2 linked regions of the Caenorhabditis elegans genome follow. The protein of the gene in region 2 interacts with the protein of the main gene of each other region in a pairwise test. Each region holds a gene or a part of one and is shown on either strand. Other genes may lie near its edges. The genes, in order: rps-15A and T09B4.8.

Region 1 (3,270 bases), on a different chromosome or scaffold from region 2:
GATGTTTTTTCCCTGGAAAAAATTGGATTTACGCTAAACAACACGCGTCAACGATGCTCCGTTTTCAAGAGCAAAAATGCTCACTTTAAAGTCCTCGAACCATCCGATATTGTCAGCGATGATGTGATGGTTGTGACAGCCGGAGCACGTGACAATGACAACTCCCTTCTCGTATGATGACTTGGCAAATGTTTTTGGGCCCTTGAAATTATTAGGAATTTCAAATCCAGTTTTCTAGCTTTCTTGGCTCAAACCTCCCGGGAGTTGCACACTTTGCAGGTGTATGACAGGGACAACTGGGGCTCTTGCTTCCCCAGTGGAGTGGCTGAAAGTCTGGGAACTGTCTCGGAGAAGCTTCTCGATGCTCTATAGAGAGCTGAAACTGCTGAGCGGAGCATTCTGAAAAATTCGTGGTCCCCGAAAACGAAACCCAAAGGTTTTAAAAGATATTTAGAAACCCTGAAAAGTTGGATGCCGAACTGAACACACGACTCGGTTGTAGTTGTAACAACAATTTATTTGTAATAATAACAAACAAAAAATTAGGGTTTGGATTTAGAAGAAGAATCCGAGAATCTTTCCTCCCAAATGCTTTCTTCTGGCCTCCTCGTGATCCATGATTCCGGCGGAGGTGGTAAGGATGAGATATCCGAACTGACGGGATGGGAGGAGGGTGTTGGTGTACTTCTCCAAATCGTTTAGACGGATGTTGAGACGTGGGGAGATGACGGAGGCCTTGTTGAGACGTCCGGTGAGGTTGACGACGATCTTTCCGGCGCGGTGGTCGTCGACGATCTCGAACTCTCCGATGTATCCGTGCTTCATCATGACGGTCAAGAAGCGGACGATGACCTGGAAAATTATTGTTGCGATGGGAAGGGACAGGTGGAAAACTAGAAATACGGAAAGTAGATGTTAAGCTGGTTACCTTCAACATTCATATCCCAGGAAGATCTCCAGATTGAGAGAATCTAACCAAGGGTGTCTCCGTTTAATTAGAACCGAAAGTTATGTTTGGAAATAAAACCGAGTTTCTTTCACTAAATTCTAAATTCACGGAGAGCCTTGGTCATTTTTTGCGACCGAGGCTGCCAGCATCATCATCTATTAACAAAAATGCATTGAGAATTCTCGAAGAACGACGCGAATTTACCTTGGAGGCTGGACGGATGAGAACCTGACGCTTTCCGCGCTTCTCGGCGTTGTTGATGGCGTTGAGCGCATCGGCGAGGACGTTCATGCGAACCATGTCTGCTTGTTTTTACCTGAAAATTCGGGAATTCATTTTTACAAAAATTATGAGAACGCGAAGCAAAACAGACACATTTCGATGAATATTTGTAGGTATTTCGCATCAAAACTACTGGAAAATGCTTAAAACCACAAAAAATGGAGAAAATCACCTAAAAATCACGGAAATTCGAGAAAAGTATGTGAAAAACTTCGTTGGCCTACGCCTTTCCACCGCCTATGCATTAACGTTGAATACTCAGCCAAGCAGCCAAATCGTCTTAGTGGAGCGCGATTGCAGTGCACTTTAGGCGGGGTTTCAAACATTGATTTTGGTTTTTTTTTGTTTTAAAAATTCGTTTTTTCGCAATTTCCGGCTTTTTTTCTTTTTTTTTTCAACTTTTCATAGTTTTTGAATATTTTCAGACACATAAAACATGAAAAGAGTGATCAGCCTCATCGATATGGACTGTTTCTACGCACAAGTCGAACAACGGGACAATCCATCGCTTTGGGGACAGCCGGTGATCGTCGTGCAGCACTCCAGGCAGGGTATCGAGGGTGGGTAAGCTGAATTTTAATCTGAAATTCTCCAAAAAAAGCCCGAAATTTCCAGAATTTTGGCTGTAAGCTATGAAGCCCGCCCGTTCGGAGTGAAACGAGGGATGACGGTGGCCGAAGCGAAGTTAAAATGCCCTCAAATATCAATATGTCACGTTCCGATTGGAGAATATGTAGATAAAGCTGATATTCAGAAATATCGGTTGGAATTCTTATATTGAAAAAGTCCCAAAAATTGCTATTTTTTCAGCGACGCTAGCGCAGAAGTCTTCCGGGTGCTGAACAATTACGACTCGCAAATTATAATCGAAAAAGCGTCTGTCGATGAGGCTTTTCTTGATTTATCCGCGTATACTAATCAAAAATTGCAAGAATTGAGAGAAAACGAGGGATTGGAGGAGTTTTTGCAGGTAAATCTAGCTTGAAAAGTTGAAAAATGAGAAAAATCCCCCCTATTTCAGCATCTTTTTGCAGAATTAGCAGTTTTTTCAAGAAAAAAAACGCGAAAAACCTGATTTTCCGCTAAATTCAATTAATAAAATTCAAGAATTTCAAATTACCTCTAAAAAACGTGCCAACCGCGACGCGACCGCTCGCGCCGGGCGGCACTAGGTCCACAGGTTTTTTGCCGTTTGTTAATGAATTTTCAAGCAAAATCCATGATTTTTTCGCTAAAAATTGCCTAATTTTCGCATTTCAGGCTGCTATTACCTACCTCCCAACCACACACCTCGCTACCGGAGAAGATGTGAAAGAAAATGAGCACCTACGAGAAGATGTGCTGCTGGAATATATTGAAAATGCGAGAAATTGCACGGAAAACCTGCTTTTACTGATTGCCGCGGTCACTGTAGAGCAAATTCGGCAACAAATTCACGAGGAAACCCAGTTTTTTTGCTCGGCGGGTATGGATTTTGCCGGAAAATCCAGAAAAATTCATTTTTTGGGGGGAAAAATTCGCCCAAAAATCGCAATTTTCCATTTTCAGGCGTCGGAAACAACAAAATGATGGCGAAATTGGTGTGCGCCCGGCATAAACCACGCCAACAAACGTTAATTCCGTGGTTCTATGTTCGAGAAATTCTCCGGCTTACGCCAATCGGAGATGTTCGAGGATTTGGCGGAAAAATGGGAAATCGCATTCAAGAAATGCTTAATATCACTGTACGGAAGCGAAAATATTCAAAATTCCAAGTTATTTTCAGAATTTTCATCGAAAAATTATCTGAAATGTCTGAAATCTGCAATTTTAGGCGTTTTTATACAATTTTTAAATATTTTTCATTGAACCTAGAAATTTGGAAATACTCAAAAAAAAATCAATTTTTTCTGGCAAAAAAAAAAGAAATTTTGAGATTTTCTCAGCTGAAAATGTGTGAAAAATTCGATTTTTGACGGTAAAAAGTCAACATGGTCGTGAAAAAATGCAGGAAAATTGAGAAAATCAAAAATTTCTGCTAGAAAAACCAAAAAAAGCTT
Region 2 (4,310 bases):
CGCATTCAAACAGCAATTCAAACCATATACACACCTTATAGATTAATGCATTCAACCTACGTGCTTATTGCTGTTTTATTCGTACGCTTGAAGAGTGCATTTTATGCCGCCATAGCTCAGTCGGTTAGAGCGTGGGTCTAATAAGCCCAAGGTCGCAGGTTCGACCCCTGCTGGCGGCAAACTTTTGCCATGCTATCACTTTCACCTTTTTCCGCATTTCGATTACATCATCAGTTGTGCGGTTGGCGTCGCCTAACCATCCGATGAGATAACACCTATGTCGCATTTGCCGCGCGCCAAGGACATGCGGATCGGAACCGGTTTTAAGCTTTTCTTAATCTCAATCCACAGCAGAAGCAGCAGCCGCAGTACATGCATGTCGCTTCATTTTTTTAAACATCGTCCGTCCACCAGCACCTTGTGACGGAGAAGTGAAGCGCGTACATAATGCCATAGTATACCAATAACACATAAACGATACATGTAACTGGATGCGTTTTGGAAGAAGCAAAAGAGAAATGCGAAAAAAGAAGAATACCAAGTTGACTGACGGATTTTCGTGTTCAGATCTGAATTTGTAGCTGTACGTCTTAAAAAAGGGAGTGGTCTGAACAATACAAATTGAAGCGTTTTGGAACAATAATTTCATAGAACCCGAAAGAATTTTGAATATTTGAATTATAGTTTGAAACAACAACAAAAAACAAGAATTTGGTAATATCGAAATGAAGAAATGACGGCGCCTATGAAATTATTTGTATTGTTTAATTGATTTGGCAATGATGTCTACAGCAAAATCGACATCCTTTTTAGTAATACACATTGGTGGTTTGATACGGAGAACGTTTCCATGGATACCTCCTTTTCCGATCAGTAGGCCTTGGTTCTGTAAATTAATCTGATAGTTAGACAAGTAAAATGGCATTACACCTTAGTGTCTTCGAAGATAGCTGCTGTTTTGGCTGCGGCAAGTGGTTTCCCTTGCTCATCGATAAGTTCCACTCCGATCATTAACCCCTAAAAATCATCAAATTGTATATTAAAATCTTTTTAGAGAGTTTTCTCACTTTTCCTCTAACATCTCCAATTGTCGCATCATCAATTGCTGCAAGTTGTTTCAAGAAGTAATCTCCAACAACAGCGCTGTTTTCCTGAAGCTTCTCCTCTTCAATCACTTCCAATACAGCTTTTCCAACAACGGAAGCTAATGGATTTCCACCATATGTATTGAAGTATAGAGATTTGTTGAAAGAGTCGGCAATTTCTTTACTAGTGACAACAGCTCCCAATGGGAATCCGTTTCCGATTCCTTTTGCCATAGTTACCATGTCTGGCAAGGCATCTTGTGCTGAAAATTCAAAATATTGATTTCTTAGTTTTAGTATTATTTATTTTAAAAACTCACATTCGAATCCCCAAAAATGAGAGCCGAGGCGTCCGAAACCGGTTTGTACTTCGTCAGCAATAGCGAGTCCTCCCCGTTTTTGTACAGATTCGTAAGACTTTTTGAGATATCTGGAAAAATCAAATACACATTTTTCACTTTTCTTTTGAGATTTTACCCATGTGGATACTGAACAGTTCCTCCAACTCCTTGAATAGATTCAATCAAGAAGGCAGCTGGTCCGGATGAATGAGAGAAATCGTGAAGAAGCATATCATCGAACTGTTCAATGTACTTATCAGAAGCTTGACAGGATCCAGGCTTGCAATCGCATTTTCTGTTCTTTACTTGAATTGGAGAGTCACGACAATTGCTTCCTCCAAAGATTCCACGATATGGATCAGCATTCAATGACTTAAAAATGTTGAATCCATGTGGAAAAACTGGTTTCCAGTTTCCCAAATTAGTTGCTCCAAGAACAGTTTGGGTCATTCCATGATATCCATTTCTCATCGAGATAACATCAAATCGTCCTGTGTAGTTACGAGCAAGAGCTAAAGCCAGGTCATTTGCTTCCGATCCAGAGTTCACAAAGAAGACTGACTGAAAATTTGGATGTGAAGAAACGACTAGATATTTAGTAATTCACTATAGGAAGGCCTAACAGTTTCAAGTCTGCAAACTGTAGGGTTTGATAAAAGGGTAAAAAATAAAAACTAACATTCAATTTGCTTGGGAACTTTGAGAGCAACTTCTCAGCATACTCATAAATTGGTTCAGTGTGATAAATGGACGTGGTATGCCAAAGCTTCTGTGCTTGCTCGGTAAGAGCTGCGTTGATTTTTCTGAAAGCATAAAATTCTCATAAGCTTACAAAAAGAATACTCACGGATGACAATGTCCAACTGAGACTGTGACAATTCCACCAAAGAAATCGAGATATTTCTTTCCATTCGAATCAAAAAGGAATTGTTTTTCACCTTTCGTAATCAAGAGTTGATCCTTGTAATAGGTCACATGTCCCTTTGGAAGTAATGGACGAAGTGCCTGCACTCGTTGCATGGTTTAAGCTGAAATTTTTTCAATATTTGATGAATCGATTAAAGGGATCCAAAAAATAATGACTTGTGGAAAATTTTGAAAAGTTCACGGAAAAATCTACTTTCGTGTGGAATACAAGTTAAATACAGGAAATCATTAGAACTTATAGGCATTTAAGAAACACAATTGCACACAAAATAACTGGAGGGTGTGTCAAATGTTTCAAGGTCAAGTTGGATATATTACACAACACACACACACAAAAATGCACCAAAAAGACAACTGTCTATGACTGTCTGCGTATCTTCCATTCAAATACTTTTTCATTTGGCTCTGAGACAGTTGTCGTTGGGAAAATTAGAGAGAGTGACCAATAAATGTGTGGAGAAGAGAAAAAGAGCAACGTGTTTGAGGACAGAAGTGCAAAAGAACAACAAGTTAAAAAATTAAAGAAAGAAAAATGTCATTATTAGAACGGTTCTTTGTGAAAAACTGCCTGCAAAAAGAAAAAATGAAAGAAAGAATTTTCATAGAACAACTGAAAGATATCAAGAGATGATAATTGATAACTGTTGCACGTATCAATTGATAAAAATGAATAGGACATTCAATTCTGATTATTGACCCTTTTAATAATATTCTTGATTTGACTTTATGTGGTGGATCCGAAGAAATACTTTCAATACTTTCTCGTGGGGCTTAGTTCAGGCTTGGGCATAGGCGTAGGCTTAGGCTTAGGCAGGCCGGGAGGAGGAAGAGAGCACATGAAATTCCAGAAAATTGAATAGAAGAAAAAGAATAGAAGAAAAAAAAAAAGAAAAAATGCACAAAACCCATGATAAATGGAATTAATAAGAGAAAAAATTGCACAATCTTGAATTGTATTTTTCTTCCCCTCAAGTTTTGATTTTGCGGTATTTATTAAAAGTTTGGAGTATTCCGAGTATTATTTATAAAACCAACTTAACTGTTGAATCCATAAAGTTTATTTTCCGTGTGACTTTTTATTTATAAGCAGTACCCGCAGTGTATTATATTCTGTAAAATTGCCGAGTTGCCGAAAATCTAAGTCTTCTTTCCTTCTCGCATCAAAACTTTCTCTTTTCAATCGCAACCGTTCTCGTGCGACTTTCTTTTTCTCTTCTTCTTCACAATTTCTTTGCTATTTCTTCTTCTCTATGTAAAAGATGCAGATAACCCAAATTTGCGTATTGTTATCAATACCAGTGTTGCATACAACATCAATTTTCTCATTTATTGATTTTTGTTTTGGTCCAAGTTGAGGATAATTTTTCGTTGAGAAAAAAGCTTGTATTCCTGCCAAATCTCTCGTTTTTTCTTGTTTTCCGCCTTTGTTTTGACCCGTCAAACACCGTTCCGCGATTCGCTTTTTATTTACCTACGCTCTCTCGTTTTCTCACACAGTTCTTTTCACAGAATTTCAATTCACATTTTGCTGCTCGGGTTTGGCTATTTTATATATTAACATTTTAAAACAAAGAAGAAATGACTGAATTTTTCTCGCAGAAGCAGATTGATGGTAAGTGAAACAACACTATAATTCCAAGATTTGACTCCGAAATCTTTACTTTATTGTTTCTCATCAGAAATTCGTGAATGCTTCAACTTTTATTCAACCAGTGGAGTACTAAGAACAGATTCTCAACTTCGATGTGCTCTCCGAAGTCTTGGATATTCTCCAACTGCTTCCAAAACTGATATTTATTTCAAGAAGCTTAATAGTATGAGTTTTAGAACATTACACTTCTGAATGATTGCTATTTATTTCAGAAAAACCAATCGAATTTGCAACATTTTTGGACATTTGCAAAGATGAACAAAATAGTCCGAATCCACTGACGGAGATTATCAAAGCGTTAAGTGG

Evidence for each region.
Region 1: the proteins of T09B4.8 (region 2) and rps-15A interact in a two-hybrid assay, tested with the Caenorhabditis elegans proteins (one large-scale study listed by BioGRID).

What each region holds. Positions count from the first base shown.
Region 1 is NC_003281.10:1,948,655-1,951,924, reverse strand, and holds rps-15A (Ribosomal Protein, Small subunit), read right to left. Parts: upstream 1,266-3,270; 5' UTR 1,250-1,265; coding exon 1,154-1,249; intron 1,105-1,153; exon of another isoform or gene 938-1,104; coding exon of another isoform or gene 929-937; intron 853-928; coding exon 556-852; 3' UTR 501-555; downstream 1-500. Other genes in the region: F53A3.7 (DNL-type domain-containing protein), read right to left, coding at 1-12, 85-201, 255-398; polh-1 (DNA polymerase eta), read left to right, coding at 1,668-1,795, 1,847-1,993, 2,042-2,201, 2,492-2,696, 2,780-2,955.
Region 2 is NC_003279.8:6,164,086-6,168,395, forward strand, and holds T09B4.8 (Alanine--glyoxylate aminotransferase 2, mitochondrial), read right to left. Parts: upstream 2,455-4,310; 5' UTR 2,447-2,454; coding exon 2,274-2,446; intron 2,230-2,273; coding exon 2,106-2,229; intron 1,988-2,105; coding exon 1,563-1,987; intron 1,516-1,562; coding exon 1,406-1,515; intron 1,349-1,405; coding exon 1,068-1,348; intron 1,018-1,067; coding exon 931-1,017; intron 887-930; coding exon 752-886; 3' UTR 634-751; downstream 1-633. Other genes in the region: T09B4.4 (EF-hand domain-containing protein), read left to right, coding at 3,932-3,965, 4,033-4,167, 4,217-4,310.